2 linked regions of the Lonchura striata genome follow. The protein of the gene in region 2 interacts with the protein of the main gene of each other region in a biochemical or structural test. Links are inferred from orthologs where the notes say so. Each region holds a gene or a part of one and is shown on either strand. Other genes may lie near its edges.

Region 1 (15,908 bases), on a different chromosome or scaffold from region 2:
TGAAGCAAAGGAAATCTGGTTTTGATCCTCCTTGAGCAGGGAAGTTGGACCAGATGACCCACTGTGATCCCTTGCAACCTGATTGATCCTGTGAAAACCAGAAGCAAGATATAGAAAGTGATACAAGATGTGCAAAGATCTAGGACTGAAAAAGGTAAGCAGAGACTAGAAGAGGATGTCCTGAAATTCGAACTAATGAGGCACAACCACGAAACACAAAAACCTGCAGTTACTATTTTATTACAGCTGTACTGCAGGCATGAAAGAGTATAATTCAAAAGTCTGCCAACAGTGCAGACTTATCTTGACACAGAAAATAACTGCACACAGATTGCACAGAAGAGTCAAACTGAAGAAATTACCAGCTTGATCTTAAAAGATAAACAAAATATGGGTCAATGAAATTTCTTATCACCATTAAGAGTGGTGAACAAAAAACACATCAATAAATGAAAAAAATAAGACTGCCTGTCCCACTGTCTCTGCAGAGCTCTTTGCAGCAAAGGATCTGCTCAACCACTGCTCTCCCAGTTACCAGCTTGTTGCACACCTTGCTCCAAGTTTTAATTTTTTCTATTCTGTGTTATGTAAGGTATGTAGGAACTACAGGGCTCAACAGCAGCCATAAAGGTACTGGGTATTTCATCCCTGCCTTAGCCTGACCCTAAAACACAGATATGCAACTTCCAAACCTCCAAACCCCAGTAAGGTGAGGCTGTTTCTCAGTTCACTTCTACCTCTTTAAAAACCACAGGGCTACTTAGATAACCTGAAACACATTAACTAACCCACCCAAACCACAAGCAGCCAGGCATTTTGGAGATCACCTACTCACAAATCAGTCAGAGGAAAGACTAACTCTTATAATCTTTGTCATAATTTTCCGTGAACCAGCACACTTTAAATGTCAATTCAAAATTTTAACTATGTCTAAATATTTTAAGTAATTCCATTTTTATCAAATGAGGTCATTTAACCTTTTAAGGTAAATGAGTATCTTAAGTTCATGCTTAGAAGTTCCCCTCTAAGAGTTTAATATTATAAGCACTCTGGGGGCAGATAAACAGGGAAGCATCAAGGAATAAAAGATTTTTTATAAAAAAAAAATAGTGGTAGAACAGAAAGTAAAGAAAACATATGAAAAGAATCTCAAAAATAATGCATTTAAAAGAGTAAGTTTTTAGTAGCTTCCTTACCTTTTATACCAAAATAACAATGAAGAAATGTCTCAAGTGATATTTTGGATACAATTTTCAGTTATCTGAATGTGTTGCTGCACTGTCTGGTTATCACACATCACTCTAACTGAACTTCCTTCAGCACACTCACAATATTCAAATTTACTTACCCTTCACACCAGATTCTGTCACAAAAGTCTCCCTGCTGCCTGTGAACAAAATTCAATCTCTGATGTTTTGAAATAGGATCTGTCTCAATCTTGCCAAGACTGAATTGCTTTCGATTGTTACAAAAACAGAGGTGGAGGGGGCTGAATTCCTCTCTTTGGAATTGAGCGAGATCAAGTTTTTGAGAGTTTGAGTCTGACACAGGCTCTGGCGTCCCACCTTCCTCAAGCCTCAGCAAAGCCCTCAGTAGCAGCCCTTTGTTTTAACAGCTCTGACAAATAGCTCCAATTCTATATGCCACATATGAAGCCTAACCCGTATGCCAAAGAAAAGCATACTTTGATTTTTAATGCTTTTTTCTTCTGTCAGCAAACCATCTTCCCCTTAGATTCTGTAAGTGGTGGCAGATGAATTTATTTTATTACTTAAATACATAGTATTAGTAAGTCCTTCTAACTGGTCTGATTTTCAAAAATGTTCCTTTGCATTTGCAAGCCAAGAAGAGATACCCAAAAAGAAGAAAATCATGTGCATCATACACCACATGTTTATATTCTTTCAGACTTAAAGCAGACTTCCTTTTTGATAGAGCTGCTACACAGAACCATGGAAACAAGTTCTAATTCTATTAAAATCCAGGCAGAATTTAAGTCTTTTTATTTATATAACCCAAGAAAATTCTTTGATGGAATTACATTTTGAAATTATGCCTGAATGAAAACTAAATGGTTTACAAGAAAGTCATTCTTAATACTTAATGCTGTTCATCACCAAGGCTTTTTTTTCTTTTTATTTTTTTAATCAGATATAAGAAAATCAGAATTTTCAAAGTCAACTTTCAAAAATATGTTTTATTTCTCTCTGTAGGTCTGCTCAGGCCCAGGTGTTTTTCAGTAGGAACTTCTATTGTACCAAGAGATTTTAACCAAATGCCTGGTTTAATGATGAAGTCAGAGAAAAGCATCTAAAAGTAAATTTTCCTCATGTATAAGACAATTTCTTTTCTGGCAGATGGTAGAAATAACACTACAGGAAATACAAATGAGAGAATAATGGTTAATAACAACAAAATGTATAATCTAATACCATCATCTTGTTTGTTCTGACACTGTTTACTGTACTGTCTACTACTAATTGTTACTTTCTACCATACCAGAATAGGCAGGAAATGAGCTACATCAAAATAGCAACCATGGCAATACTTCGACCAAAGTATCATCCCAATTACTTATCACTTCTCAGTGTTTCTTTCCATTCAAAATAAGTTGTTGAGCCCACCTTCCATTTGGAAGTGAGGGACAGGAAAAATGGTAAATATAGGATTTGCATAAAAATAGCATTTATTGTAAATTTGCCATTATAACCACAAAGGCTTTAATTAGACTCGCACAGAAATCAGAACTGGCCCCTGATTATCTTTGTGGGTAGGAAAAGATCCACACCTGCCAAATGCAGAAGAATGCAAGTATATGCATTTATTTTTATTCTTGTAATTTTCCAGTTTCACGTGGCCATTCTACATTTTTTTTACTGATGTCTGGTTGCCTGCTCAGTATAAACTGGCTAATGCTGATAAGCAGATAGAAAGTAATGAGAATCTTGATGCCATTTTATTGCACCAAAATGCATGCTATGTATAAGCCTTGTGGGGGTTGAAGAACAAAACACAGTGAGCTACTGTGAGCTACATTGTAACCAAAGCTTTTTTTCCATTCCTTAAAGAAGTATTGGGTTGAAGAATTCAAAGTTATCCACTCGTTAAGTTTTGTCACATCTGAAAGATGTTAAGGTATCTAGTGCTGTCCAGAAAGCAAGAGCCTTGCAGGAACAAAATGCTTTATGATGCACAATTATTCAACTATCACATAACTTGTATTTTATGTTCATTTCTAGTCACCACCTACTTCAGAACTGGGATTTGGGAAAATAAGTAAAATTCTGGATTATTTTCAAGAGCCTAATAGATTACACAAAATACTAATGAAACATGCAAGTAGCTGCAAGATGCTAGGCAGGCGCTGGCTATACACAGGGAATATGGCACCACCCAGTGGGAAGAGCACTACATGAAACATCTGCATTAAAAGAGCCATAAAGAAACGTAACTCTTCAAGGTTTGCTGTCTTTTTAATTTTATTTTTTTAATTCAGGTTTGTTTGTTTTTAATAATGGAACTGCTACCTATTTTCGGGATCTGTAGATTAGCTTTGGAGGAAAAAAAGAAAGGGAAAATTAATGGATCTCAGTTACAGAAATTAACATGGTATCCAACTGTACTTCTTAGAATGGCTTCAAAAATTTTATTTTGCAGCTTAGCCCCAAATATTTTTCATTCCATTAGAATCTCTCCATTGCAAATGGCAACTAGATCTTACCTTCTCATAAAGCCTCAGAAGAATCCCCTCCTTTTAATGAAGATATTACAGCTTTTTTATCCAGAGCTGAAGCCAAAAGTCTGATTGCTTCAAGCTTCAAACACTTTAAAAGTCAAATTTTAATATGCTTAACCATCACTGATGTTTTCAACTAATCAGGTGCTCAATCCTATGATCAGAATTTATTTCTGATATTTTCACTGGTTGTACTACAGTGATGTGAAAACCTTTATTACTCCAAAACTCTACCAGTCTTTTGGTTTATACAAATAGGCTCACAGAAGTGTGAACTGGAAATGTTGGAAGGCCAACATACTACAGGCTGAGTAACATAATTGTATTTAAATTGTACTGTATTGTATCATTTGTCTTGCAAACAAGACATCTTTTCTCTCCTCCTCCCTCCCCAAAACTAGAGATGGAGGTTTTCTGTAAGAATTAAGGCTCTGCTCACCTGAACAAATTACTAGAATATAGGCTGACTGTGCTTTGGAACTTTCACTGGTAATACTGGATCTGGCAAGCTCCAACTCCACCATCTAAATTAAGAGCTACACAAAAATCACAGAATAACAAAATGGTTTGGGTTGGAAGTAGCCTTAAAGATCACCCAGTTCCCCAGGCAGAGACACGTTTCAGTAGACCAGGTTGCTCTGGGCCCCATACAAGCTGGCCTTCAACACTTCAAGGAAGGGGCATCCACAATTTCTCTGGGCAACAAAGGGGCAATATTTAACAGTACAAGCTTGTGTATGTACTACAGGCTTATGTAGGTTTTCTATATAATTTATTTTTTCCCTTCCCAAAAATACAAAGTGTCAGCAGACTGTATTCCATCCTCTCAAAATACAGTTTGGGGCATACCTCTAACAAATTCCCTGTCCTTTTATGCAGCATGTTTCTTTATTAGTTCCTACAGTTTATTTAGATGAAAGTATGGGGATAAAGGCACAGATGAGTCTTCCATCATAAACTCACAAAAACAAACTCAAGCATAAGTTTCATCTTGTATTTATTTAGTTTTGACAGCAGACACAAAATACTTTTAGTTTCCAAGCTGAGAGATGTTAAGTCCAGTTTTGAAGAATCAACACAAAAAACAAAGTACACAGACACAGGTGCACTTGGGGGAGAAAAAGGTACATACATGAATTTAGCTTTTTTTCTAATTCCCAGATTCTAAAGCTCAGCATAACCAACCTGTTTCGACAGCATATACAAAGAGACAGCATATCACAAACCCTCCTGGATAGCAGGCTTCAGCTTTCACAGTAGGTAAGCAAGTACCAATCCTGAAGAAACCCCACACAGCTCATGTGACCTGAGCCAGAAACACTCAATGGCTTTAAGTGACAGGTCCTGTGTGCAGACCAGCAACATCTCCCTGGGACAGCAGAAGCAAGTATCTTCAGGAGCACAGGGGAGTCTCACCTCCCACTTTGTCCTCCTAGGGAGGGGAACTTGTTCCCTCAAGGCACATGCAACAACCCAGTGAATCTTGCACAGGCCAAGCCTTGCCTGAAAGCTTCCTACCAAAAGCCATAGAACACTGGCCTGTGACTTTGACTCTTCTAGCCCACATAAATAACTACCTCCACTTTTATCTTTCAGTCTTCCCCACTGTATTGGAATGGCTGAAATTTGTACTCAAAACAGATGATACATAGGTATCGTACTATCACAAAAACAATATGCACTGCCAGTGGAATTCTCACACACGTATGTGTCTTAGTAAAAAAGATGAAGTAATTTTCTTAAATACAGCACATGATTTCAACATCCAATATATGTAAACATCTGACACCCCTAATCAGACTGACATCCATGGACTACAGTTTCTCTGGTTACAGATGGATGCCTCAACTCATAAACTTAGAGCAAGTATCATTCTGCACTTTCCTCTATCCCTCACAAACATGTCTTCAAAACTGCAGATGTTCTGCAAGAGCTAAGTGTTTCCCAAAGCCCATTTTAATTCTAAACACACAGGATACTAAAGAGACAATGCACAGCATTTGTTCAGCACAAAAAAACACCTGTTCTTTTTTTAAGAAGAGAGTTGTCTTTTCAAGCTCTGGGTTTTACAAGAATAAACAGATGACAGACAAATTTTCATTGATCACAGTTAAAAAACCCCAAAAACCAAAAAACACTAAAACAGATTAAAAAGAATGGCAAGATTGCTCAGTTATTGGATAAGAAAATTTCCCTAGGCTTCCTTCATGCAATAAAGCAAGAAAAATAAATTTCAAGGTTTAAGCAAATTTGTACTTTCATGTAAATATCAATTGAGGAAAAAACTGTTGATATTAATGACTAATTAAAAAATTATTCTGCATTTAGACGATGTGCCCACTTGCTTTCTATCGTTCCTGGTAACCACTGAGCTCAAACTCCTGAGCATTCACAATGACAAGAACAAAATGCCAGCCAGGTTAATCCTAAAACTGCAAATCTGCCAAATCAAAGTATGTTTATTACTCTGACTACATTTCCTAAACGTGCTCCCTGAATAGACAACAATTTGAGCTACCACTACTTCCAAACCAGAACATAACCATCAACCTTCAAATTGATGATTCTCTCTAATTATTCACTATTATTTCTATGAAATTCTAATTATTTCTATTTCTACTATTATTTCTAAAATCTGTGTGGTGAGGACTGCTTTATATACCAGTATCACTGTCATATTATGTACAACTTGGCACCTTCAAAGGGACCCAATTCTGCTTCCTTGGACAGATGTAAAGATTTTTATTCCATAAATTCACTTTTCCTGCAATTCTGGAAAAGAAAACATGGTTAAAACAGGCAGAATATACTATTTGTTTTAGCTGCTAAACAAAACAATTACTATTGTATGAGGGACATAGTCCTTTATGATGTAAACTTCTGTGAATGTAGCATTTACATGAAGTCTTTTATTAGCATGAAGAACAAACAAATGCAACAGTTATGACAACATGCATGTTTTAGTCTACATGACAGAAAGGCAGTTCAGAAATGTGGTATGTATTCTTAAAATGGGTGAAGAGCAACTGCTCTACAATGTGTTATTTTGGTACATGGATTATTATGCTATGAGTTAAAAAAATACCCTCACAAATTACCAAGTGATCTATCTTCCTTTCACTAGGTCAGACCATTCCTCAGTTACAGGAGGTATATTTAGAGTTTTATTTGACTCAGGAAACGACTGTCTCAGTGTTCCCTTGGATTTAAGATACTTCAGTATACTAAACAGCATATGGAAACTGACCAGTTATTCAATATTTGAAAACACACAGAAAGAGGAAAACACGGTGGAAGTACTACTGAAACAGCAAGAAGACTGGAAAAGCTGTAACTAAACTTCTCCCTGTGCTTTTCTTTAAGAAATCAAAATAGCAAAATTTACCAGCCTGAAAATGCCATAATGACACATCACCTTAGCGAAATGAAATAACTACACCATAGTGAATACTAGGAGATCCTAAATTCTTCACTTCTGAGGAAGAAACAAAACTTCATGACAATGGATGCCTAAAGCAAGGGGGTGGGGGGAATGAAACTGTTTCAAGTAACTTTTACCAACCTATAAAGACAGCCTCCTGTATTTACCCGCCTCCATCACACAGCCAAAAAACACTTGTGTTTGCGAGCACCCACGTCACGAGAGCCGCGACAGCCTGGGCGGCTCTACGTGCACCGGCGGCTCCGGGGACAGGGAGCGGCGGGAGCGGGCGGACGGCGCCGCAGCGGTGCTCAGAGCCGCACCGCCCCTCCCGGCGGGGCCGGGCACGGCCAGGGGGTCCCTCCGTTACCTTCCCAGAGGAAGTGGCCGCCCTCCCGCCGCAGGAACTTGTACCAGAAGGGGCTGGCGGCGTCCTCGTCCGGCAGCGCCACCTCGGCCAGCCACAGCGCGGGCTCCTGGGCGGGCAGCGGGGCGCTCGGCCGCGCCCGCCTCATGGGCACGGCGCGCCGCGGGTCCCACTCGCCCAGCTCCGGCCGCGACCCGGCCACCAGCAGCTCCGCGCCGCCCTCCGTCACCCGGCCGGGCAGCACCACGCCGAAGCGGAACAGCATCGTACACAAAGAACGGCGCTTAACCGGGAGCTCTGCTATTGCACAGCCGCCGCTGGCAGGCCGCCCGGGCCCGCCCTTCCGCCGGGGCTGGGGGTCGGACACCGGCCCGGAGACCGCCCCTGGCCCGGACGCTGCCCCGGCCACCGGCCCTGCCCTTGCGGAGCCCGAGAGGTGCCTCCTTCGGCCGGGGCTGCTCCCGCTTGTTTCGGGCGCTCGGCTGCCGCACGCACGCTGCCGGGGATCTTCCCCTCCGAAGGGGAGTTGAGCAACACCGAGCCTCAATCGCCTCCTAAAGTGGGGATGGAAAATCCCCTCCGCAGCTAAACACTGGCTCTCCTGGTTGCCAAAGGCTACGCGTCACGTATGGTGACTGTAACAAGGATTATTGCTGCGTTAAAGGAAGCCATTGCAATTACTGCCAAGAACTCAGGCTTAATTTAGCGCAGCAAAGACATCATTGAAAATTGCCGTACTTGCAGCTACGAACAAGGACTGGCTGCAAATAACGCTGTAGTGTTCATGATGTTTATGTCTTTCCCGCTGACAGCCAGCCAGTCATGGTGAGAAAATAAATGTGAAGTGCTGAGGGAGGTTAGAAAGCTTTTAAAGAAATCTGGAGTTCGCTGCACGAGTTCTGTTTACGGCCAGAAGGGGAAAATTTGGCAACTCCTACGCGTAGCAATACTAAGGACTTAAAAAGACTGAGGAAGAGGATGCAATCCAGCCATTTAATGGGCGGTCCCTGCTTGAATACACCCATTTCAGAAGCTTTTAAGGACAGAAAAAGAGAAATGGTAACTTTATTTAGGTCAGGTTCTGGGAACAGGATGAAGGCCTTTCAATGAGTCAAAAGAAATCCTGCCTCAAGAGATGGCTGTTTGTTTCCTTTATGCAGGGGTGATGACACTGAAGTGTATGTGCTGCCAAATTTATTTTTAAGAGTGCTTTAGCCAATTTTCACTGATACTCATTGAACTTGTGTAAGTGATATTCTACCACTTTTCCAGACATAACCAAAACAAATGAAATTCTCACTGTCCTCCATTTCTGCTGGCTTTACTGTAGCACTGCTGCTTTTGTGGAACAGTGCAGCACATTTTAATTTTTTTTTCTCAACCTTACAGTTGAGCTACCCATACCCTGTCTCATAATTTCAAATATCTAACTCTTTACCATACACCCCCATTTTAGCAGCACGAGACAGAATGTAAGAATTCTGGGGTTTTATCCTAAAGATCAAGCATGACAGGAGTCCTAAAACCACCTCAGCATATTGTGTCTACACAAAACCATATGCTTCTGTTCATTCCAGTCACAGCTTAAAAACTGCAGGATTCAATAGGGCATCTGATTGACAGTTTAGTTCCTGGCTGTTGTCTAAGCCCCAGTGTAAAGAGAGACCAGCAACATCCATCTTTGGACAAGACTGAACTGCTTTGTGCCTGTAAATATTGAGTCCTCATCTTAGACCTGTAAGCCTTGTGGAACAATAAAAAATTGTTCTGTAGACTCTGATGTGCCAAGTAGTATCTTTAAAATTAATTTAGTCAATTTCTTCTCCGGGATCTGCCTTAATCCATTTTGTGCCACTCAATATTGTGTGTTAAAGATGACAGAAAGTGGCCAGCTTGATTTCCTGACGTTTCCTCAAAAGCCCTAGTGCAGATAAGGGTTAGGTTGAGAGATCAACAGGAAGGGCTGAAAAACTGGATCTACTGATGGATCCTGCAAGACTGAGATAAAAACTAGAAATGTAGATTGGTTTGGGACATCCCATGGCTGGGTATAGTGGGAACAGAAGAGCAGTTTATATTGGTGAAATTGCAGGCTGAATGGGGGCTGTAGACAGGATAAAATTTATTAGCATTAGATCTGAGACTGAGGAGCTAAAGGTACTGTGAAGTTTGTTTTTGCAAATGTATGTTTTTTCCCCTGTTAGATTTGCATGGTCTATGATTTGTCATCTTCTAAACTGGAATTTCAGCTGGAGTAAAGGCAGAGGAGGTAGGGAGGAGTTCCACTTACTGTTAGTATTTGGGATTGAAGGAGTTGATGAAGTACTTCCACAGTTGAGCCACTGCCATAACCCTAAATTTAGTTTCAAGTGTCACCCTAAGCCTCTTAAGGAATTAACAATAGTTTCCTTTGCCAAAATGACCTGTTATTCTAGTACTGCCTGGCCAGTGCTCTTCCCCTAGTTCTTAACACTATTCTGAAACCTAAAAGCTTTCATGATAATCCAGTCATCTTTTACAACCACAAATTAAACATGACTATTTCCTTTTTTTTTTTTTTTTCCACTATAGTAAGTCTTCCTTCCAACTTGGCAAGCCTTACAATTCCCATCAAAAAGCTTTGGCACAAAGGGGCAAAACCCCAATAGTTAAGCTGTTTTTAATTGTCACAAAAACTACTGTCACTCATTGATTCCTGTGGGAACAAGCTACCATCTTAGGGGTCTGTTTGCATTGCAATCATAAATGCTGTGCATTTGTGCCTCTCACAGCTGTTTAGGATCTCTCAATATACTTACAGCAGCCACTTGCTGAATGGAAGCCCCGACTGACCTCAAATCAAACAGTGAGCTAGCAACACAGTGAGGCTTAATGCCAAGTTTATTTAAAAGCCTTCAGTTTATTGTTTCTGCTACCATCCGAGGCATTTGCTAAAGTTGTTTCTAACTGGCAAAAAGGGAAGAATTATATGAAAAAAAAAGGACAGCCTATTTTTACACAGCATTAGTGTGCAAGAAGGGACTTGAGAGATCAGTTTCTGCAAGAATGACTTGCTTTGTGGAGTTCACCTAAATTGTACCAATACATAGTAGCCTTGTGTAATTTCTAGCTAATTAGCTGGCTTATTATCCAAAATTTGTGCAGGTAGTGGGGATCACACAGGAGGACTCACCGAGGCTGTGTACCAACTTAACATCAACCAACCATCAGTTATGCCTTCAGGTTTCTGCCTAACGGCTGTATCTGAAAGGATTCTACGGAGAAGGCTGAATGTCCAGAAATGTGACTTCATTTGCAGACATGTAAAACACATTTAAAGGCATTTTCACTTGCTGTGCACTAAACATTTGCAGAATCACAGTTCTAACATTCTGCAGAAGTCAAATTTCTTATGGTGTCTCTTTCAGAAATAAAATTGTCATGATATTTTTGTGAACCCAAGAGTTTTAAACCATTTGTTACATCCCAAAAAAATTGTGCAAAGTATTGCTGGCCGAAATTTTAGTGAAGACAGTAGTTGAGAAGTTTGACAGCATACTCCAGTTCAAAATTCAGCTTTCCAAGTGGAAAGTCATATTTTTCTTCACAGTTTTCTTATCTGCAAAGTGTCTACTAGGTATAGAGACAGCACACAGTTATCTGATCAATGTGAATACTACTAAAATGACAGCTGAAGTTAATAGTTCCATGCTGGGGTAGCCTGTGTCTGCAGTATAAGTGTTCTTCTTTTAGCAATTCCAAACTTTTGCCCCATAGCCCAGTTGCAGCTTGGAACAGCTTTATCTGTTATTGCTGTACAGTGATCTAAGATGGTATTTCCAAGTAGGGAAATCTGTAGTGAAGAGAGAGAGCTTGAATAACAGAAACAAAACACAAATACAGAAATATTTGGTTGGAGAAGGGAGGGAGTATTCCTGATTGCAAGTTGTGGGTGATGTTTAGATTAGCAGTGCTCCTTCCTAGACTTGCCTTTCTTCCCTTTTTAGGTCATTTTCTTTCTTGTAAAGATACAGAGAAAGTGTTATTGCAATTCCCAAATGTTTCTGCTAATTATAGAAAAGAGAAAAGCAGCACATGGCACACAGTCTTGCTTGTAAAAAGGCAAACATTTATATTATGTGATAAGCTGATTTAGATGTATTAATGATTTGGGTAAAATATTCATTGCTGAAAAATTTAGACAGCCTGTATTTCTTCAAAGAGATTGTGCTAAATATAAAAGAAACCTTATTCTAGTGCAAATAATTTAAGACCACTGGTTTAAGTAAAAGTTAAGTATTCTAAACTACTCAATCGACAGACCCAGACCTTCTAATTGAATTCTAACTGTCCTTCTCTTATCAATTCTGATAGAACTATGAACTAATGCTCTCACCAATATTTCTAATTTGACAATACAGCAGCTAATAAATACCTTTATAGACTGAAGACTGAAAGAAGACTAAGATTAAAGAACTTGTTAACAGATAAGCACTGCTATCCATAATTTTTAGTTTAGAGCTGTGTCAGAGCACTGATAACTGCATGATCCATTTTAGCTGCTTATTGCTAGGAGCAAACTTTTATGCAGACTTAACTACAGAAGTTCTGTCAGGAATGACCATTTCAGGAATTGTGTTGGAAAAATTTTCTGCAACAATAGATAGGACACTAAAGGAGATGGTTTCCACTTTTGCATGGGGGTTTGTGTAGCATATTTTTTAAACAGGTTGTTGTTTTTAGAAGTAACTTGGCAGTATAAATATGCAATAACATTACAGTAAACACTACAGAAATACATACAGGAATAACTGATCTGGTAGGTTTCTTTTTTCAACATCCAGTTAAGCTGTCTGCATCCTCCCCAGCCTCATATGCCTTGGGAGCTGGAAAAAGTTCCAACATATTTCAGCATGAGGCCCTTTTAGGATGTCCTAGCAGCCTCACCAATGTCCAGAAATGAACAAATATTGCAGACTAGTCCAGCACATGGCTCCTTTCCTGCCCAGAATGAGCCATAGTTTTTGGAGGGATGCTCCACATCATCTGTGGTACATTTGCACTGGGATGCTGTGACCCAAACCAGCCCAGAGTTCTGGTAGCCCTAGCAGGAACATGGCCCTTCTGCCCGGCACAAAGGGATGAGAGAGGCCAAGTGCTTACTCAGAGATCCAAGTACCTGGAGCTTCTTGAGTGAAAAACAGTATGTAGCAGTAATCATTACAATATTAACTCATTGTAAACTTCATTTTTTAAACCAGCCTATTTCCACCAATGTTATATCAGGTTTCTAATTAAAATGTCTACTTAAGGGAAAAAAGAAATGTTTCAGCTGTTTGGAAACAAGACAGTGTAAAAACAAATACTTGATTGTACGGAATAGCAAAACTTTATTTCATTAGTTAGGAGAATGCAATCTGACCCAAAACTTATGTGCTATTAAGTTTTAAGTAGAACAATGTGCCTGCCTTTTTTCTGGGGAGACTTAAATAATCCTTCCACTTTCAAAAGCCAGTGCTCATTGATCCTAATAATACACCCTCTGTACCTGTGCCAGGCTTGAGTGTTCTTGGGATCCCCAGCAAATTACTGATTGATAGAAAGTTCCTGTATATTATACTCCTGTGGCCATTTTAAGAAAAATTTAATTGTTTATTTTTCATTATGCAGACCTTTTAATTGCAATTGTTTTATGTATGACCAGCAACATTTCAGGAAGTCACACACAGCATTAGATGTGGAGTAAAAGGTGAGAAAAGCAACCATGGGAAAGGAAGTTTGACAAGAGAACTTCCTTCTCAATTTGTGCTTAAGCAATAGGCTTCTAGCTCCAAAATTGATTGGAATTTAATAAACAGCCAAAAAATTGGAAGTCTTGCTGACAAATCTGACTAGATTTTAGGTAATTTACTAATTACTTAAGTTATGACTAGATTTTAGGTAATTTACTAATTACTTAAATTACTATTAAGTAACTTAAGTTACTGTGCATTTACTGCATAATGATTAAAGAGCTTTGGAACAAAAGCTGTTTGGAACAGTAAAGGTTTCCCTTTACTTGTTTTTTAAAAAATTAAGCAAACTGAAGGATATTATCCTTAAAGCCATGGACCAGTATCACAAAAGGAAACAGAAATTATAGAAATGATTGTTCATTTAAGTATACAAGTCTCAGTGGTTATTATATGCTTCACATAGTACAACAAATCAAACTTACTGATGACTGACCCTACCAATCAATTTATTTTTCCAGTTATATTAAAAAAGTAAAAACATCTTAAAGCCTTTTTCTTAGACAGAAACTGGATCAAAATACAAATCCAGAAGTTATATTTAGATCAATACATGATATTTAAGGCCTAGGAAAAGTGGCAGCAGAAATTAAAAGAAAAAAAATTTAAAAAGAAGAGAAAGCATCCTGATCCATACCCAACAGCTCCACAACATATAAAAAAGAAGCAGTTATATCACCAGTAAATCTAATAAAACAGAGATTTAATGCTCAAGTGTATATAACAGCATATAGAATACCTTACTCTCTTTTTTTTAATATATGAATCTGTTGCTGTATCACTGCATCAATACAATGCATTGCTGCTTATCTTTCTGGTTTCACGTGTTGACCAAATTTTTCACTGCACATCTCTTTATTTAAAAGAATTTTTATTTTGGCTGTTTTGGCAAGCTTCCCTAAATTCACTTACCTGGCACACAAATAATCTTTGCTAAGAAACAAACACTATGTTCACCCAGATATAAAGAAACTCTTGGAAATAGGAATTGCAGTCTAGAATGAGAGTGTAAACAGTCTGCAACTTAGCAACCTTCCACCGGCCATGGCAACAGCTTGCAGCCAAGAACCAGGAGATGTGTATAGCATACTTTGCAGACTAGATCATAGACAGGGGACTCCTGTTACTTAATTTGGTATGTGTATGTTGCTGTGTACCATAGTAACCTGTTTCCACTTGAGCTCAAGCTCTCACACAGATGCCTCCTCATTAGCATGGCCTCAAGGTAATGGCACAGAAAGGTATTTCTGTGGCATCACCTCAAGGTAATGCCACAGAAACCACACTTGAGCTGTACTTGGCCCCTAAGTCAGCAGATGATCACTTGGTTTTTCTTCACCTGTTTGAAAGAATAATGGATATGGAAGATCAGTCCAAAACCAGATCCATCATCTTAATCAACAGTATTACAACAGCCTTGGAAGTACAGCGCACACTTCAAATATTCTATGTGTAGAATTACACTTGAATTACACATACATTGTCTTGAACAGCTATAAGAACACTTGAATTTTCAAATTACATTATCCTTCTTGGTGCTTACTTTTTATTCTTACTGTATTCAACTATAATTCAAGCTGTTCAAAACTTCTTATACCTAAGCCCTCTAAAGTGGTTTTAAATTTACTGAAAAATAGCACTGAGATCTAATTTTTAGAGATTCCTTATTGGTTTACTTTTATACATTAACTAATCTGCACTTTTCCATAAGCATAAGTTCTCAAGCTAAGATCATTAAGGCTTAGTGCTATATAAAATATTGTTGCCAAATGCCTTTTCTATTCTGAGATAAATCTAAATAGAAAAGATAACAGATTCATATATTAATACCAGGCAAAATTAATTTGGGCAAAAATGCATAATTCTCAAGTATTACACTCATTACCTCAAATTCCAGGTAAGTGGAATTATTTTCTTAAATTATCAGAATTAGTTTTTGCTTGATAGCAAATTTCATGTCTGTGAAACTTGTAGAATAAATCTTGATCTGATCTCTCACTTTTTAGGCTCCTGACCATAAAACAATGAAATGGGAGTCTTTAAAAATACATTTATATAGGGATTGTTGGAACTAGTTCCATGCAAACTTCAGCCAACCAACAGTTCTTTGTAGCATGTAGTAGCATATCATGTTCCAAGTTCTCAAGAACATAATCTTATTCAAAGAAGAGGTTTATTACACTGCACATATTTATGAGTAATTTAAATATATTACCAAATACAGCTATCCCACTGGCTAAAATATTTGTAAGGAGGAAAAGGCAAAGCTAATAGAGCTGTTAGCTGGCATGATGGCCAGTCTGGATTGACAGGGGCAGCAGCACAGTGAAGCACTTGATGTGCCACTATTAGATTTCCTTTGGAAGCATCCACATTTTAAGTGATTTAAACTGAAAGCAACAATTAAGCTCTGCATTTTCACTTATGTAAGTATGAATATGCAAATAAAATACCTTTATGATCAATGATATTGTTAGCATTCACTACCCTGAACTGCATTAAATGACACATCAAACAAACTATCCTTCAGCATTTTGCAAAGACTGTGGTGCAATAATTCAATCTGTTGCTTTCATAATCAGAAATTCTCAAAGTATCACTTCTGGTGTGGTG
Region 2 (15,789 bases):
AGCTTGCTGCTATTGCAGAGGACTGAAAAAAACCCCAACAAACCAGTGACTTGCAAGTTAGTGACTTCTGATTTAATTTTTCCCACAATCACTATTACAAATGCAACTGCATAGGAGGAGCTGGGTAGAAGGATTCCTAAAACTGTTAGTCCACACACAGTTTTAATTGTACAGTCTTTCACCCTCTTCTCTCCTGTAATGCCTGTCTCCCAAAGGCATTCCCTGAATTACTTAGGTCCTTTCCCACCATTCATATTGTGATCTGAGGTTTCCTCCCTTTAATCTGACAGCAAAGATGAAAGGCTGTTTTAGAAAAGAAACACAGCAAAATCAAAACATGGACAGAACCTCTGGGGGAATTAACCTTTCTTCTGAAATCAAAGTAGTGAGGACACACATGTACACCACAGTTTGACAGAACAGCAGCTAATGAGAAATACAGTTTGGGAACAGACTAAACAAGCTGGGAATAATGAGTAAGTGTTGTGCAGAAGTCACAAATAGGAAGAATGTGATTGGAATTCAGAAATCAAAAATTTAGCCTTGATTTGAGGTTTAAGTCAAGTCAAACTAAAGGGTGAAAGTCCATGGCTTGATATAGATGTCTGATAATAATTCAGTTGCATGGCTTTTATTTCTCCAGTGACAGAGATACAAGAAAGATTTACTTCTGCCTCCAAGGTACACTTTTCTAAGTGGTTTGGGTTTGTTTTTTTTTTTTAATCTCAGTAACACTGACACAGTGGAAATATGTGAAATATAGTATCAGCTGCATTTTAATGATAATGTCATCCAAGTACTGAACAGCTCTATGAACATCACAAAATAAATTACTAAAAGTTCTAATGCTGGGCCTGGGGTAACTTCAATTTCAGTTTGCCATACTAGGGAAGAAATGCACTTTTCACTTGGTCTTTGAAAGGCAGCAATCCTTCTTGCAAAATAAAACTAAAAGTGGCTACCTACTCTGCAGCCTTAGAAATGTTTTCACAGTCTTAAGACTAGAACCTACAGTGTGATCTCTACTACAGTGTAAACACCATACCTTTTCTAACCTGTTGGCTAAGATTAAAAACCTCTTCTGTAGGATCTGCAAGACATGTTCAGGAATAAGGTCTACACTGAAGCTGGTCCAAAGTGGGTCTTGCCCCAGCTTGTTGGTTACTGAGCAAGTGCACATGCCAAAAGGGAAGTGTGGTATTGCTCCACTCAGTCTAAAGGCCTTAAAAACCAAGCAAGGGTTCAGTATATTATGAAAGAATAAATAAGAAAAGCTAAACTGTTACAATAAATTTCTTTTACAAAGAATTTCTGATGCTGAATGTCATAACTACTTATAATATATTCTAAATATGCACAAGATTTTCAGCACATAAAACCCCAAAGCAGCATTCCCAGAAATTGTCATCGTAAAGTCTGCTGCAAAGACTTCTCCAGGGCAAACCTCTGAACTAATCTGAAACTCCCTGATTTCAAGCCCAGTCCTGCAGCATTTATTTATGTGGACAATTCCATTTGCAGTACTCATGACTGCACAGATAAACTGCTCATGACAGAGCAAGCCTCAATTCAAACAAGTCAGCTCAAGTAATATTAAGACTAGAAAAAGACTAATACACGTACTTTAAATACTTCTGGCTCCATAATATCATGCTGTAAGTTGAGGGGAAGTTGGCGGAGAACTCACTGAAGAGCCCTATTTCCTACCTAATTAAGGAAAATGACAGATAAGGGAGCCAGGCACATCCTTTTCATATTAAAGTGATTATATATTTTTAATACTTAATCTGTCTGACTATTTTTGCTAAATTTCTTACAAAGCATATTTCAATGACATTATATTTATTCTCATGGTAGTTCCTTACTCTGTATTAATAAAAGGCACAATTGTCCTTTGTTTCTTACTTTTAGTACAGATCAGTAGTTACTAAATACTGGTTAAATTCCATAGTACCTATTATTCTGGAACTTGTGCTAGCTGAGTTTTACCTTTCATCTATTTATATTTAGAAAAATTCCCAGTAAGAGTTACCTCCAGTGATTGTGTAGGTGTATAGTTCTTTCAAGATATTTTTTTTTTTTTTTTGGTACTAGAAGTTTTAAAAGCAAGCTTTGATAAAAAACATTTATCTTTTTTTTTTGGTTGGTTGGTTTTCTTAGTGTCTTCAGAGTTTTCTCAAAGTTAATTCTTTCTTTTTCTCAGTTATAATTTTGGATCTCTAATCCTATGTCTTGCTTAAAACTGCCTACACTTTATTCATTACAAGGCATATAATGATATTTAAAGCATTTAAAATGTTTTACAGAATCTTGTGGCAAGCAATAGTTTCCTGATTTAAAAAACAAAATATTCCATGAAAGCAGGATTTGTTCTCTCACTTCAACTCTCTGCCCATATAGTGCTCACCTGTGAGCAAAGAATAAAAATTGCATACATAAAGAGGGATTGTTAGAAAAATGATACGTATTCTTTTTTTTTTTTTTATTAATTCAACTACAGGGAGCATACTTCCCTAAAATGCCTTGTTTGCTCAAAATCTTTATCTCCCCCACAGATTTTTGCTACAAACTAATAGACAATTAAAGCTACAAGTAACTGATAGCTCTCCTAAGGATTGCCATCTGAAAAGTGTCTAATTGTAGCTGGAAAATCTGTTCATATGCAGGTCATTCCTCTGCCAGAGGTAAATACTAATCAAAAGGCAACAGCTCTTATCATCTTGTCCATTTTCCAGGCTGAAATGCTTCACCTCTTAAGAATGCATTCCCTTTACTGGAATGATGGGTGTGCTCTGTTCTCTGACTTGGTGGAGTTCACCCTCTGCTTAAGCCACAGACACCTTCCATTAATTTTTTCTCCTTTTCAGAGTTGATCCCCTCCTTTCTATCCTTAATGTGAAATTTGAGCATTTCAAAACCACACACTTTTGTGGAGCATACTGGAAGCAATTATCTAGGAATACATTGCGGTTTGGAAAAGTATTAATTCCCATGATTTGTAGGAAACACCAAAGGAATTAGTAACAAGATCATCAGTATAGTGTCAAAACTTCTTCAAAAATCAGGAAGGCACCTCCCAGACAAGACAGTGATTAAACACAGACTCTCCCTGCTTTATTAAGGTAACCTTCTAATGGGAACTCTAAGATCTAGCCTGAAGTCTGCCAAAGGCTTCCCTTGATTCTGAGCTCTCTTGTCTGCAGCTGCAGGGCCAAGACATTTGTACTGTATTTGCCTCACAGAGAGGTTGGAGTGCCAAGTTCAGGAATATCTGTAAATCTCTTGGAAAGCAATAGTGAGAAAAAGGTGTAAGTGCAATGCATCATCTGCTCCCTGAGAACCTCTCCAGTATCAGAGAGCTTTGAAGCTGTCCAGGAGAGTCAGGCATGTTACACGAAGGAGGCACTTTAAGAGAAAGTCTGGATGTTTATGTAACACTATCAAAGAAGTGCTTGCTGTTCTCCTGAATGATCTGGCAGTTCTCCTAAGATGCCCGATTGAAGAGTGAAAAATATCTGTATTTTTGCTTTGCTCCTGTAGAGGCAAGCTGTGACTCACAGGTGACATGTAAACTGTAAGATGAGCCTCTGAGCAGAGTCAGGAAAAAAACCCCCAAACGCTGAATAGAAGGAAAAGAAAAGAAATTCCTCGTGTGTGAGGTGCAACAGCACTGTGACCCATGGTCCTAGGGAAGAAATCTGCTTTTTGACCTCCATCAACCCTTCCAGAATTGAAAGGTCTCCTATATTATAGGCTATCATCTTGATGGACCTGCTGTATAACATCCTTAGTAGTTTGGGGGCTGGACATTGCTTTTTCCCTGAAATCAGTCCATATTAAAAAATACTACAGTGATGTTACATACATGCTTTGGGAAAACATAAAGATCAAACTGATGTGTACAGCAATGTGACTGGAGGGAATAGACAGGTGCTCAAATGGACAATGGCCAAATTGAAATAAATTTTACTTTTTTTTCAGCTTTTTCCCTTATTCATCAATCTGAAAAAAATATATTCTTTATCTAAAATAATTCTCTTCACAAGCAAAATAAAAAATATGTGTTACAGAACATCATCTCAATATGCATTTCTGAAACTCCTCTGACTCCTTTAATTCCTTAACACTGTAAACATACCCTTGATATTTTTATATGCAACCTGAGATCAGTGCTTAAAAATAAACCAAATAGGAATTGTAGTGTGTGTGTGTGTGTGTGTGTGTGTGTGTGTGTGTGTGTATACAACAGACATAGAAATCTCTACTAGGGGCTGAAGACATGACACTAAAGGAAGACTGTCCATTATATTTATTTGGTTTTAATCCAATGGCTAGAGCATGAGGTGCAGAAAGTTATGCAAAGGCGATGGAGTTAAAAAAAATAAACTCAACACTAATTTTTAAAAATTGTCACTGAAGCATCTAGACACAGTCCTATGTTCCTTTCTAAATGGAATGGCTACCACTCTTTTCCAAAGGTAAGCATACATCTAGCTATCCCCATTCCAAGCACAGCCAGTCAAACCCCAAACCTAAGGAATCAGTTCAAGCATGGGCCTTCCATGATTTGCCATCCCTCTCTCAGAACACAAGATTTTGTGTCAAAAGAAAGATTTCAGCTTTACTGCTGCATTTTTCCTTAAGCACCAAAGAACTTGAAATTTTTAATATTTTGTTTTTATATACAAATACAGTTCATTATGGCTTCTCAATTTAGGCACCTACATCAAAATAATTCAGACAGAATGTAATGGTTCCTTTGATGCAGTGTGGTACAACAGTAAGCACCAAGTTGTAGATTAGAAAGAAAACAGTTGCATTGTTCACAGAAGTAGTCTACATTTGCTTTCAGTAGGTAGGTAAAGCAGAGACTGCAGGAGATGGCACAAAGTAAAAAAAAAATTCTATGAGGTAGAATAAAGTCCGAAAGTTTATTTTGCTTACAAATCAAAAAATTAAGTGATTTCTAATTAACCAAATGAGTAAGGAACAGAATGGGCAATAATGGGAGTTTTTGTAGATTTTAAAACAGTATGAGTCAAATGCTTAAAAATCTGTATTTCAACTGCTGGAAAGTTGCCTACATGGCAATAGGTCCTAGGAAATTTTCCCATCCATGAATTTAGTAGCAAAAATAAGCTCCTGGTGCACACAAAGGTTTGAGAAGATAAAAGCTCACAGCCTATGGTTCAGAGGAAGTGTTACCGTGACAAAGTATTAATTATGTATGAATACAGCATTGAGGGCATTGCATGCATTTTGACACACAGCAGTCTCCCAAAGGAAGAGTTATCTAATTGATTCTATCAAAGGCAGGCGTCTCCTTGGCATCTAGAAAGGAATATATAATCCAGGGGTCTCCTCCTCTGAATAAATTTCCTTCCTGACTTCCCAATTGGGCTCCTGCTCAGGGCCATACCGCTCGTACTGCAGAACAAGCAAGGAGGATTTCTGGTTCTTCCAAAGGCATTTGCTGTCTGGCCAGGCAGTAGAGAAGGCTGCAAAATACAGACTGTGCACATCCATATAATTTTCAATAGCAAAAAATGGCCCTACAACAACTTCTATAGGATATCACCAAACAGAAGAAGAAACCATCTACAGGCCAACTGCAATGCAGAAATGGTGTTGTAACAAGGAAACACCTGATGAAAAGATATGAGGAATTATCACTAAATTATTAAAATATAGAAGTAAGCAAATCACACTTTATTTACTGTTCAATTAACCCTTACAAATAGCTGCAATTAACAGATTTGTTTTGTTTGACATGTTTTGTTTTGTTTAAATGTTGACATGAGACAGATTAACATATTGGTTGAATTAGAGAGCTAAACTGCTCCAATTTAGTGCAAGTATTTGGTAAATCACTGGTGCTGTAACACATGCAGTTATTAAATGCCCTGAAGTCAGACCAAAAGCCAGACAAAAAATTTACTGATAGATGTCTGTGAATTTCAAATTACATTAGTTAATATTAACGATTTCAATTACTTAAAAAAAGAAATTACCCCTAAAGTTTTATGCCATTTTAACCTACTCATCTCTACCTCAGATAGCATTTACATCTAACTTAATTTTAATGCTGAACCATGTAAGTAATCATTTTAGCAGCACGCAAATTCCTAAAAATGCAGCAGTGACTTCTAGTGGGTGTATTAAATCCTCCTCAAAATAAGTCATAGATGCCATAATTTCCACTATGGAAAAGGCAGAAGGACTTGTGTCTACAGTAAAACTGTGAGAATACAAGTAAGAGTATAATATTACTGTGATTAACACAAGAAAATATAAACTGATATAAATCTCTTGTGTGTTCACAATCAACAAAATCGAATTTGGAAGCTATGAAAAAAAACGAGGCCTACCTCTCACTAACATTTCAATTTGCAATTGAATCCTGGGGTTGGGGAGCGCAAAAGCACCATATTAATGACAAAACAGGGGCAGGCAGTGCTGAAAACCTCCTACATGTAGCCGTGTTAGCAGCAGAGCCAACTCAAACTTACATATGCAGGAGTATTTGTGGTCTAATCCTGGCTTCAAGAGGCTTTTAGGCAAAGCAGCCCACGCTGTGTAACCACACACCAGATTGTCTCCAGATAACATTACAGACTTGGGCATTTTTTAGGAAAAAAAAAGTGCTCCAGTACAACCTTAATAAAGGTGAGAATAATCTGGCAGAGAAAAGAGTGCCCCCAGAAATGCATCTTCCTGGAAACAGTAGACTTTGAACATGATTTAACTTCCCATGGTAGTTCCTCCATCACAAAGATTTTAGTTGGATTTAGGCAATCTTGAATGGAGACTTCCAATTGTCCTATCATTCTGTCAAGGTGATCTCCTTCCTTGTGCACAATTCCTGGAAACAGTTCTGTCAGGAGTGTATCTATACTTAATTAAGAATAGTGATAATTATGTGCTGGGAAATGTAAATAAATGACGCATTACTTTCACACGTGCTGATCTTTGATTATGTGTCAAAAGGAACCAAAACAACTTGGTTGTCAAGGCATAGAATAGTTTTAAAATGCTAAGTGATTTGTTTGGTTCATTTGTTGTTGACTACAGGCAGCAACAGCCAAGTCCTCTCCCACAGGTAGGCAAGAGATGTGACACAAGTTTTGCAGGAAGCACAGCGTGTTGGTCAGAGGGTGATTTCACTCAAAGCCCCAACACCTCCTCCTCCCTCCACTCCTACAAACTCCAGAACTCCGCATGCTGTATGAACAGAAGCAGCTTGAGCCTGCAGCAGTACGCATCTAAGCCCACTCAGGTAGAGCTATATACTTTCACTGAATGATCACCGCTGTCTAAAACGACGAGGGAATCGTCTGCCGTGTAAGTCAGTCCAACGGGATAAGCAAGCCCGTGGCTAATTAGAGGATTAAAGATGGGAAATTCCTCAGGTTTTCCCAAGCATATGACAGCCTGGCTACAAACATCCGTTACTATAACACGACCTTCTCTGTCAAAGGCCACAGCCGTGGCATATATTCTGGAGGGGAAAACGAGGTTCAGACCGAAGCTGTCCACCTGGCCGATGAGATCCATCTCCGCACTGAGTATGGTCACTCGGGTGCTGCCCTTGCTCGGTCCCCGAGGTCTCAGGTGCTCTATCACCACGACAGCACCCGAGGTGGGGCAGACTGCGACCGCTCTGGGGCTGACAAGCTGGGACCGGATCATCTGGCACTTCTTTAATTCCCCCCTTTGGAAGTCGGCCGCCAGGCGGTACAGCGCGCCTGCTTCCGAGTCGGTCAGGATTACTTCGCTCCTGGGGGAGGCATCCAAGCCCCAGGGCAGACGGAAGCCTTCCCGGACAGCCAGGACTCCCCTTCCCTCAGAATCGAAAGCCTTCACGGAGCAGTCCCCGCCGTCGGTGACCACCACGTGCCCGTCCGACGTGACCGTCACATCCAGCGGATACTTGATGTCGTTGCTCGCGCCCCCCCGCTCCCCGAACCGCCGCAGGCAGAACCCGCTCGGCCCGAAGACGTGGATCCTCTTCTTGCCGTCGTGTGCCACTGCCAGGCCGCCCGGCCCGGGGCAGGCCGCCACGCCGGTGGGGTTCACCAGCGACCCCCAGCCCCCCAGGCACAGCCGCAGCCCGAGCCCCGCGGGGGCCGCCGCCCCTCCGCCGCCGCCGCCCAGGGCCGAGGCGAGGCCGCGGCCGGCGGGGCGCAGCAGCTCCAGCAGCTGCAGCAGCGGGAGGCAGTCGCTGGTCTCGGCGGGGCCCCAGAGCCGCCGGCAGAAGGGACACTCCAGCCGCTGGCGCTCGGCGCCGGCCAGGGCCCCCACGCAGCCCCGGCAGAGGACGTGCCCGCAGGGCAGGTTGAGCGGCCGCCGCTGTCCGTCGGGGCCGTACGGCTCGAAGCACACCCGGCACTCCAGCAGGCTCAGCTCCGCCTCGTCCTCCGCCGCCATCCCCGCCGCAGGAGAGCCACCGGAGCCCCCGCGGCGGCCCCGGCGGCCCCGGGCCCAGCGGGGCGGGCGCGGAGCGCGCTGAGGCGGCCGCGCGCCCCCTGCGGGCCAGCGGGGGCGGAGCAGGGCCCGGGCCGCCCTTCCCGCCGGGAGCGCGGAGCGGCCGTGTGCGCGCCGCGCGTGCATCCGCCAGTGCATCCAAAACCCACCAGAATATTCACACAGCCACCAGATTCTTACAGACGTCCCGTCATCAAGTTACCGTACCCCTACTTCTCCTAATGTCCCTGCCAGGGTAAGGAATTAAGCCACAATTTCACAGAATCATGGACCTTGATGATTATCTAGTTCCAATGCCCCTCCCATGGGCAGGGATGACCAGAATAGACCAGGTTGCTCAAAGCCCCATCCAGCCTGGCCGTGAGCTCTTCCAGGGATGAAGAGTTCTGCACCTTCTGTGGGCAATCTGTTCCAGTCTCATCACCCTTGCGCTAAGGAATTTATTGTTAATATATCACCTAAACCTATCCTCTGTCAGATTTCCCCTTGTCCTGTCACTACATGCCCTTGTGAAAAGTCTCCAGTTCTCCTGCAGGCCCTTCAGGTAACGGAAGGCTGCTCTAAGGTCTCCACAGAGCCTTCTCCAGGCTGAACAATCCCAACTCTCTTAGTCTGTCTGCGTAGGAGATGTACTCCATTTCGCTGAGCATCTTGGTTTCATTGGATTTTCCTGCTGTTCTGGCAAAATTTTGAAAATATTTACATTCATCACTAGTAGACACATTTCTCAGGTACATACATACATTTCTGTAAGGTGCATGGACAACATGTGCTCCTTCTGCTAGGTGTATTTACAGGGTATTTTCAGAGTAGTTGCAGGGTACACACAGATTTTACACATCCTAAAATGGCTATTTTGGCATATGGCGTTGCTCTTGCCAGGCTGTTGCATGCCTGGGAGTCCTGTGCAGGACACCACAGAGCATGTGGCAGCCTCGTGCCAAGCGCCTGGCCCTTTGCAGCTATCACATATCTCAAAGTCTGAGATAAACTTCAGGAGCTCTCATGTTGCATCCGAAAAAAACTTGAAAGGAAGGAGATGCTTTAACCTGGTAGCTGCAGTACTGGCCAGGAGTGAAAACAAACAAAACCAGCAGCTCCCAGCTTGCACTGGCCCATTGGCTACACCTTTCTTGTCTCCATCAACCTAGCCTCAAAACACAAGTATCTACGAGCAATATTGAGTGTTCCAATGAGCTGTGGGCATGGGGACTGCTGTGCTAAGACCAGCAGACCCATTTGCAGCTCTAGGACTATGGCACTCTAAAAAGCCCCATGGCTTGTACTTGCCTTCTATTCTTGATGAATGATACACTGCATTGCAATCATACCTTTCCTTTCAAAATAAGCTGCGAAGGGGAGAAGTCACTGTGCTCTGTCAACTTCAAATACTTCTTGTATTGAGATGGAACTTCCTGTGTTTCAGTTTGTGCCTTTTGCTCCTTTCTCCATCTCTGGGCACTACTGAAAAGTCTTGTCCCATCCTTTTGTCAACTGCCCTTAAAGATAAAGGACTGATGGTCACTTCTCAGTTGCCTCCTCTCCAGGATTAACAATGCCTCTCTCAGCCTTTCCTCATAAGCAATATGCTCCAGTCCCCCAGCCATCTTTATAGTCCTCTGCTGGACCTACTCCATGTTGAGATTTCTCTTGTACTGAGGAGCCCTGAACTCGACACAGCACCCCAGATGTGGCCTCACCAGGGCTGAGTAGAAAGGCAGGATCACCACCCTCGACCTGTTGACAACACTCTTCCTAATGCACCCCAGGATGTCACTGGCCTTTTTGGCCACAAGGGCACACTGCTGGCTAACTTGTTGACCATCAGGACTCCCAGGTCCCTCTCCACAGAGCTGCTTTCCACCAGGTCAGCCCCCAGCCTGTGCTGGTGCCCTGGGTTTTTCTTCCCCAGATGCAGGACCCTGCACTTGCCTTCTCTCAACTTCATTAGGTTCCTCTCTGCCTGGCTCCTGTGCCTGGCCAGGTCTTGCAGCATGGCTGCAGAGCACTGTGCTGTGTCACCCACTCCCCCTAATTTTATATCATGATCAAACTTACTGCAGGTACCCTCTGTCCCTTCATTCACGTCACTGATTAATAAGGTGAACAAAACTGGACCCAGTACTGACCCCTGGGAACACTGCTTGCTAAAGCCCTCCAACTAGCCTGATTACAACACTGAGCTCTGCCACTCAGACAGTTCTCAATCTACCTCACTGGCCACTAACCTGGACTGTTTCCCCAGTTGAATCCATGTTGACTATACCTGATAACCTTCTTTTCCTCCACTTGCTTAGAGATGACATCCAGGATGGGTTGTTCCAAGGATGAAGGTGAGATTGACTGGCCTACAGTTTCCTAGCTCCTCTTTCTTGCACTTTTTCAAGACTGGAGTGACATTGGTGTTCCTCCAGTCCTCAGGCACCCCTCCCGCACTCTGTAACCTTTCAGCTATGATGGAGAATGGTTTAGCAATAACATTTGCAGCTCTCTCAGCACTCCTTGAACCCTCTTACCCAAGTCGTGTTAGTTTGCTTGCCCATAGCTGCACTTTCTAATGAGGGAGCAGGACACTTGTGAGCAACTGCCAGGACATTTTCCACCAATACTCTCCCCTCTCCCTGTCATCCAGTCTATGTCCCTCCAGCTTTTCTTGCTGGATGGTAATTGGAAGCTGCTACCTTGCCTTTCCCACTCACTGCCAGCCCTTCACTTGACATATATTCACAGGGATAGAGAGAAGCAACTTGCAGCAGCTTCCCACTTCTCTCTGCCCAGCCTGGTGCAGTGTCCCATAAAACAGTGTTTGAACTGCAGCTGCCACACTCCCAGGGCTGCCGGCTGATGAGGCTGAGTTGCAGAGTGCCAGGCAGACAACATTGACCAGCAATGGCTGAAAATGAACAGGAACATTTCTTTCTCACAGCTCCCATGATTTGGAAGAAAAAGGTATGCTTTGGTAGTGGCTGTTTGTGCATGGAGTTTAAGAAAAGCTGTTCACATCTCAAGGTAGTAAAGGTAGATGTGTAGGAGAGCTGAATTGGTAAGCAAAATGCACAAAACTCCTGCTTTAAGAATGCCCGATTTTAAAATGTGAGATACAAGAAAAAGCAAGGTGGGAGGCAAGTTATTTTAATAAATTTTAATCAAGCTACAAACTTTAATAGATATAGCACCTCCAGAAAATAATCTAGTCCCCATTGTCTGTGCTTCTCTGAGAAGTCATCAACTTTTTCAAGACACTTAATTTCACAGCAGTTGCCTGAAAAGGAGGCAAGAATAACAAATTAGTGAATGATTAGTCAATGAAAAATGCAAATTGTCCAGATAAAACCCCAAAACTTATCCACAGATTTCTCCACAGTGCCTAACACAGTGACATAAATGAGGAAAACTTAATTGATCTCTTTTGCACTGGGATGCAACTGTCTATGCCAATGACTCACTGCACAAACACTGCCAGAGTCTCAGAAAGTTGTAAATTTAAAAGCGAGATATTACAGCACATCAGGAGGAACTCCTAAAATTAAATTCCTGACATAGCTCCAAATTTCATTATTTTGATGGATTTGAGTTGTACATTTCTAGCATTTTCTTTGAGTACCGTTACTTTTCTTCTTTGTCACAAAAGTACAGTAGAAACTGTAGTAGTGGTAGGACTTGTATTAAAACCAGGGCAACTGGTTGATGAGGTTCAGGCAAAGTGAGAATGATCAAACAGGACTCTAAGATTGCAGCTACAGGATTACTGAGTGTATTATGAATCCTGGGAGAATAAAAAGGTGCCAAAGGGAGACAAGAAACTCTTTGACTCTTGGGTGTTCTTCTTATCTTTTGAAGAACTGAGAATTTTCCATGACAGCAAAATCTCTGTGGCTAAATCATATTTATTTTTCCCAGTATTTTTGCATGACTCTAGCCTTTAGATAAGAAGCAAATGACTTTATCATTCATCACAGGGCAAGGTAAAGGCACATAAACATCTTTATGCGTTTTGAAAAAAGTTCCTAAGGGTTAGGTGAAATTTTACTCACCAAACAAACTTTTAATTTCAGATTCAGGAACATAAAACGGTGGCCCTGAAAGGAAAGAGAGGAGATGTGGGAAGAAGACAAAATTTACACTGCAGTAGGAGAGCCAACCCCTTCACTCACAGCACCTGGCCTGTAATGGGGCCCCAGGGTGTAGCTCCATCAGCAGGAGCCAGAAAACATGACCAGAAACTCATGGCACCTTGGTGGGCCAGACAGCTTCAGGTGTTGCTGCTGCTTCATCTCCATCTGCAGCAGGGAATCATGAATGTGACATGGATATGATCACTCTCTGTGCTGTATGAATTCAGTTTACAATCTCTTTATACTACAGTGGCATGATTAAGGCTAAGAGCTGAACATTGTCAGAGGGAAAGTAATGAATTAAACTGTTCTTGCTTGTGATAGCAAGACCTATTTTTTGGGGGGATAATTATGCTGAAGTACCCAAAAGCAGAAAAAGATCTCTTTCTTTTGTGAGTTAATATTAACTAAAAAAATCTCCTACTTCATACATAATACAAAAACGATAAAAGGAAAAGTACCCTATGATTTTACAGATTTTCACCTTTTCCAAGTACATTCAGAGCATGGTAGTGGCTGAGAGAGACACACGAGATGGGCAACACATTGGGTTGCAAATACTGGATAAACAGCATGAAACTGATATTCTTGGGAGTGTTTCAAGCTCCTGAGGCCAGACAGGATGTTACTAAGTGCTCTGACTTCCAGCTTCATTGTAGCAGCCACATTTGCAGTTTCATTTCATTGTTAACATACCATGACTGTCCTCAACTTAACTTTAGCATGTCTGAATGCTAGAGAAAACACAAATTTAGTCCTAAGCTTGATCAAAATCAAAACTTTTTAACACACAGTTATACTGGTGTCACCTCTAACAAAGCTATGCAGCTAAAAATCTTGGGGAAGATACTAATACATCTACTATATCTTTATACAATTTGTATTAGAGGAAAACCACAATATAAACAGTACAAAGTTCTCACCTTTGTGTTTGTTTGGATCATATGAAACTGTAACGAGGAGATAAGAAGAATTTTTCTCCACTAGGTTGATCATCAAACTGGCATAGCTAAAAGGAAAAAAATAGACTTTATTATTTTTGTAAAGAATTCAAGCATAGCATTCAAAATATTCAATAAAATGCATTTATTTCTATGCAGACAGAATTTTAACTAAACTGCACAGAGACTAAGCAAAACTTAGTTTAAATTTTAGGAGCATAAAAGTCATGCTACACATGAAAAACATAAAATAAAGGTTATATTTATTCCTCATGATTATTTATCTTTTTTTGCAAATTCGACTCAAGATTAACAGACAAGCAATGTATTCATCTGCCACAGTCTAGAATATAGTACACAGTACAGTACTTATCTTTTAAAAATATTGTGAATTGAAGATTCTATATCTAATTAAAAAATACTGGGAGCAGGTTCAAACTAAATTTGGGCTGGCTATAGACAAGAACAAAAATTTGTAATCAAGGAGAGTGAGGGGGAAAAGAACAAAGACAGAAGAAGCAGATGTGGTGAAAAGGAAATAATAGAATTCAGATGAGGCTTGCAGTCCTGCTTCTGCTCAGTTGGAACAAACCACATATTTTCCCACCAAGAGGCAGGGTGGCTTCCTGAAGGAAGAGGACAAGACTCTGCAACTGCAGCAGAGAAGAGGAAGGTAGAAGAAGCAGGTAGAGAAGAATTGTGAAGGTTGGTCCTTTAAATGAAAAAGGACTCATTAACAAGTCACAGGATCAAAAACTTGTTACTGATACATCAGAGAAAAGACAGTAACAATGCAATTTACTAACCGTTGTCTGTCACATGGATTCACGGCTACAAGAGCTCCTCTGTCCCAAACCCCATCAAACTTGCCAACTATTGAACTATAAGGAGATAAGGAAAAGGCTTAAAAACAGTAAAAAGGGACCTTCATCTTCTTTCAGGCACTTTTGTGAGGTCACAAGGATTCTGCAGCTAGTGATGCAGATTCCCCACCACCTTTTTGTTATGGTGCAGCATTTTCATAATCCAAGCCAACAGGATACTGAAGTCAAGAAACCCTCCTGATTCTTTGTCCTGCTGCAAAGAGGTGTGGGGTAGTGAAGAGGTGTGTGAATAGGTCACTGCTGGCCCATTGTTAGGGGCTGCTGAGACACAGCAGGGAGGAAGGAATGTAGTTTTAACACATTTGGGCTACAAGTCTGGGTGTTCAGTAGCCACATCCTTCTGTCTAACATGCCTTCAGTACATCAACAGCTCTTGACCATCTTCTAAAACCCATGCATGATTTCATATGCAGGCTAAGGAAGGTGTCTTGTTTTTTTACTGTCATTGACTCAGCACATTCAGTAACTTTAGCCACCTGAATTCCCAGCTACATGCCCAGGACAGTAAGCTTCAGCTTGCAATTTATTTAATGCTAGAAAGCTAAGTTACACTGCTGCTTGCCTCAGTGCAACTCTGCTGCAGACACTAGTTTTGGTCCTGGATATGCTGGCAGATGGCTTCAGTGGCTACCCAAAGCCTGCAAGTGAGCAAGACTATCAAGAAATGCCTTTATTAATGGATGGTAAGAGCAGCCAGAGCAACACAAAAGAGTATCTGGGAATAAGAAAGAGCCTTGGTTTTGGTATTATTAAAATCGGAGGTTAGACAGTAAGGTAGTAATAAAGTAAATTGTGTCATTTAAAAGAAAATTTGAATAAGTTTACTTAGAAAAATGTGGCATGGAATTGTGCAATACCCTTCTGCCTACTGGGCAGGTGTCCGAGTCCAATTGAATCACATCTGTCTTCATTTCTGTACAGGTTTTGGCTAGGGTAGAGTTACCTTTCTTCACAGTAGCTTCCATGGGTTGGTGGATTTCGGCTTGAAATCATGTTGGTAACACACTGGCAATTCAGTTATTGCAGAGCAGCACTTACAAAGCACCTTTTCTGCTCCTCCCACCCTGACACCAGTGAGTAGGCTGGAGACCACAAGAATGAATGAGACACTGGGTGGGAACGCAGCAGGCACAGCTGACCCCAGCTGAGCAAAGGGATATTCCAGACCATCTGGCTCCATTTTCAGCAATAAAACTGTGTGGGAGGTTGGTGGATGGAAGCACTGCTTGGCTGCTGGCTTGGCATCAGTTGCTTGGTTGGTGGTGGGCAACTGCTGTCATTTGCACTACTTGTTTTTCTTGGGTTTTATTTTTCTCTTTCTTTGGTTGTTCTTTTTTGTGTAATTTTTTTCCTTACAACCTCTTG

Evidence for each region.
Region 1: the proteins of NHLRC1 (region 2) and EPM2A form a complex in vitro, tested with the Homo sapiens proteins (3 studies listed by BioGRID, with this or other methods). The link is inferred for Lonchura striata from reciprocal best matches to the Homo sapiens genes NHLRC1 and EPM2A.

What each region holds. Positions count from the first base shown.
Region 1 is NC_134605.1:49,435,153-49,451,060, reverse strand, and holds the start of EPM2A (laforin), read right to left. Parts: upstream 7,851-15,908; 5' UTR 7,790-7,850; coding exon 7,528-7,789; intron 7,445-7,527; exon of another isoform or gene 7,299-7,444; intron 1,362-7,298; exon of another isoform or gene 1-1,361. UniProt on the Homo sapiens protein: Plays an important role in preventing glycogen hyperphosphorylation and the formation of insoluble aggregates, via its activity as glycogen phosphatase, and by promoting the ubiquitination of proteins involved in glycogen metabolism via its interaction with the E3 ubiquitin ligase NHLRC1/malin.
Region 2 is NC_134603.1:88,840,756-88,856,544, reverse strand, and holds NHLRC1 (E3 ubiquitin-protein ligase NHLRC1), read right to left. Parts: upstream 8,483-15,789; 5' UTR 8,428-8,482; coding exon 7,273-8,427; 3' UTR 4,295-7,272; downstream 1-4,294. Other genes in the region: TPMT (thiopurine S-methyltransferase), read right to left, coding at 11,631-11,746, 12,519-12,563, 13,523-13,608, 14,347-14,421. UniProt on the Homo sapiens protein: E3 ubiquitin-protein ligase. Together with the phosphatase EPM2A/laforin, appears to be involved in the clearance of toxic polyglucosan and protein aggregates via multiple pathways.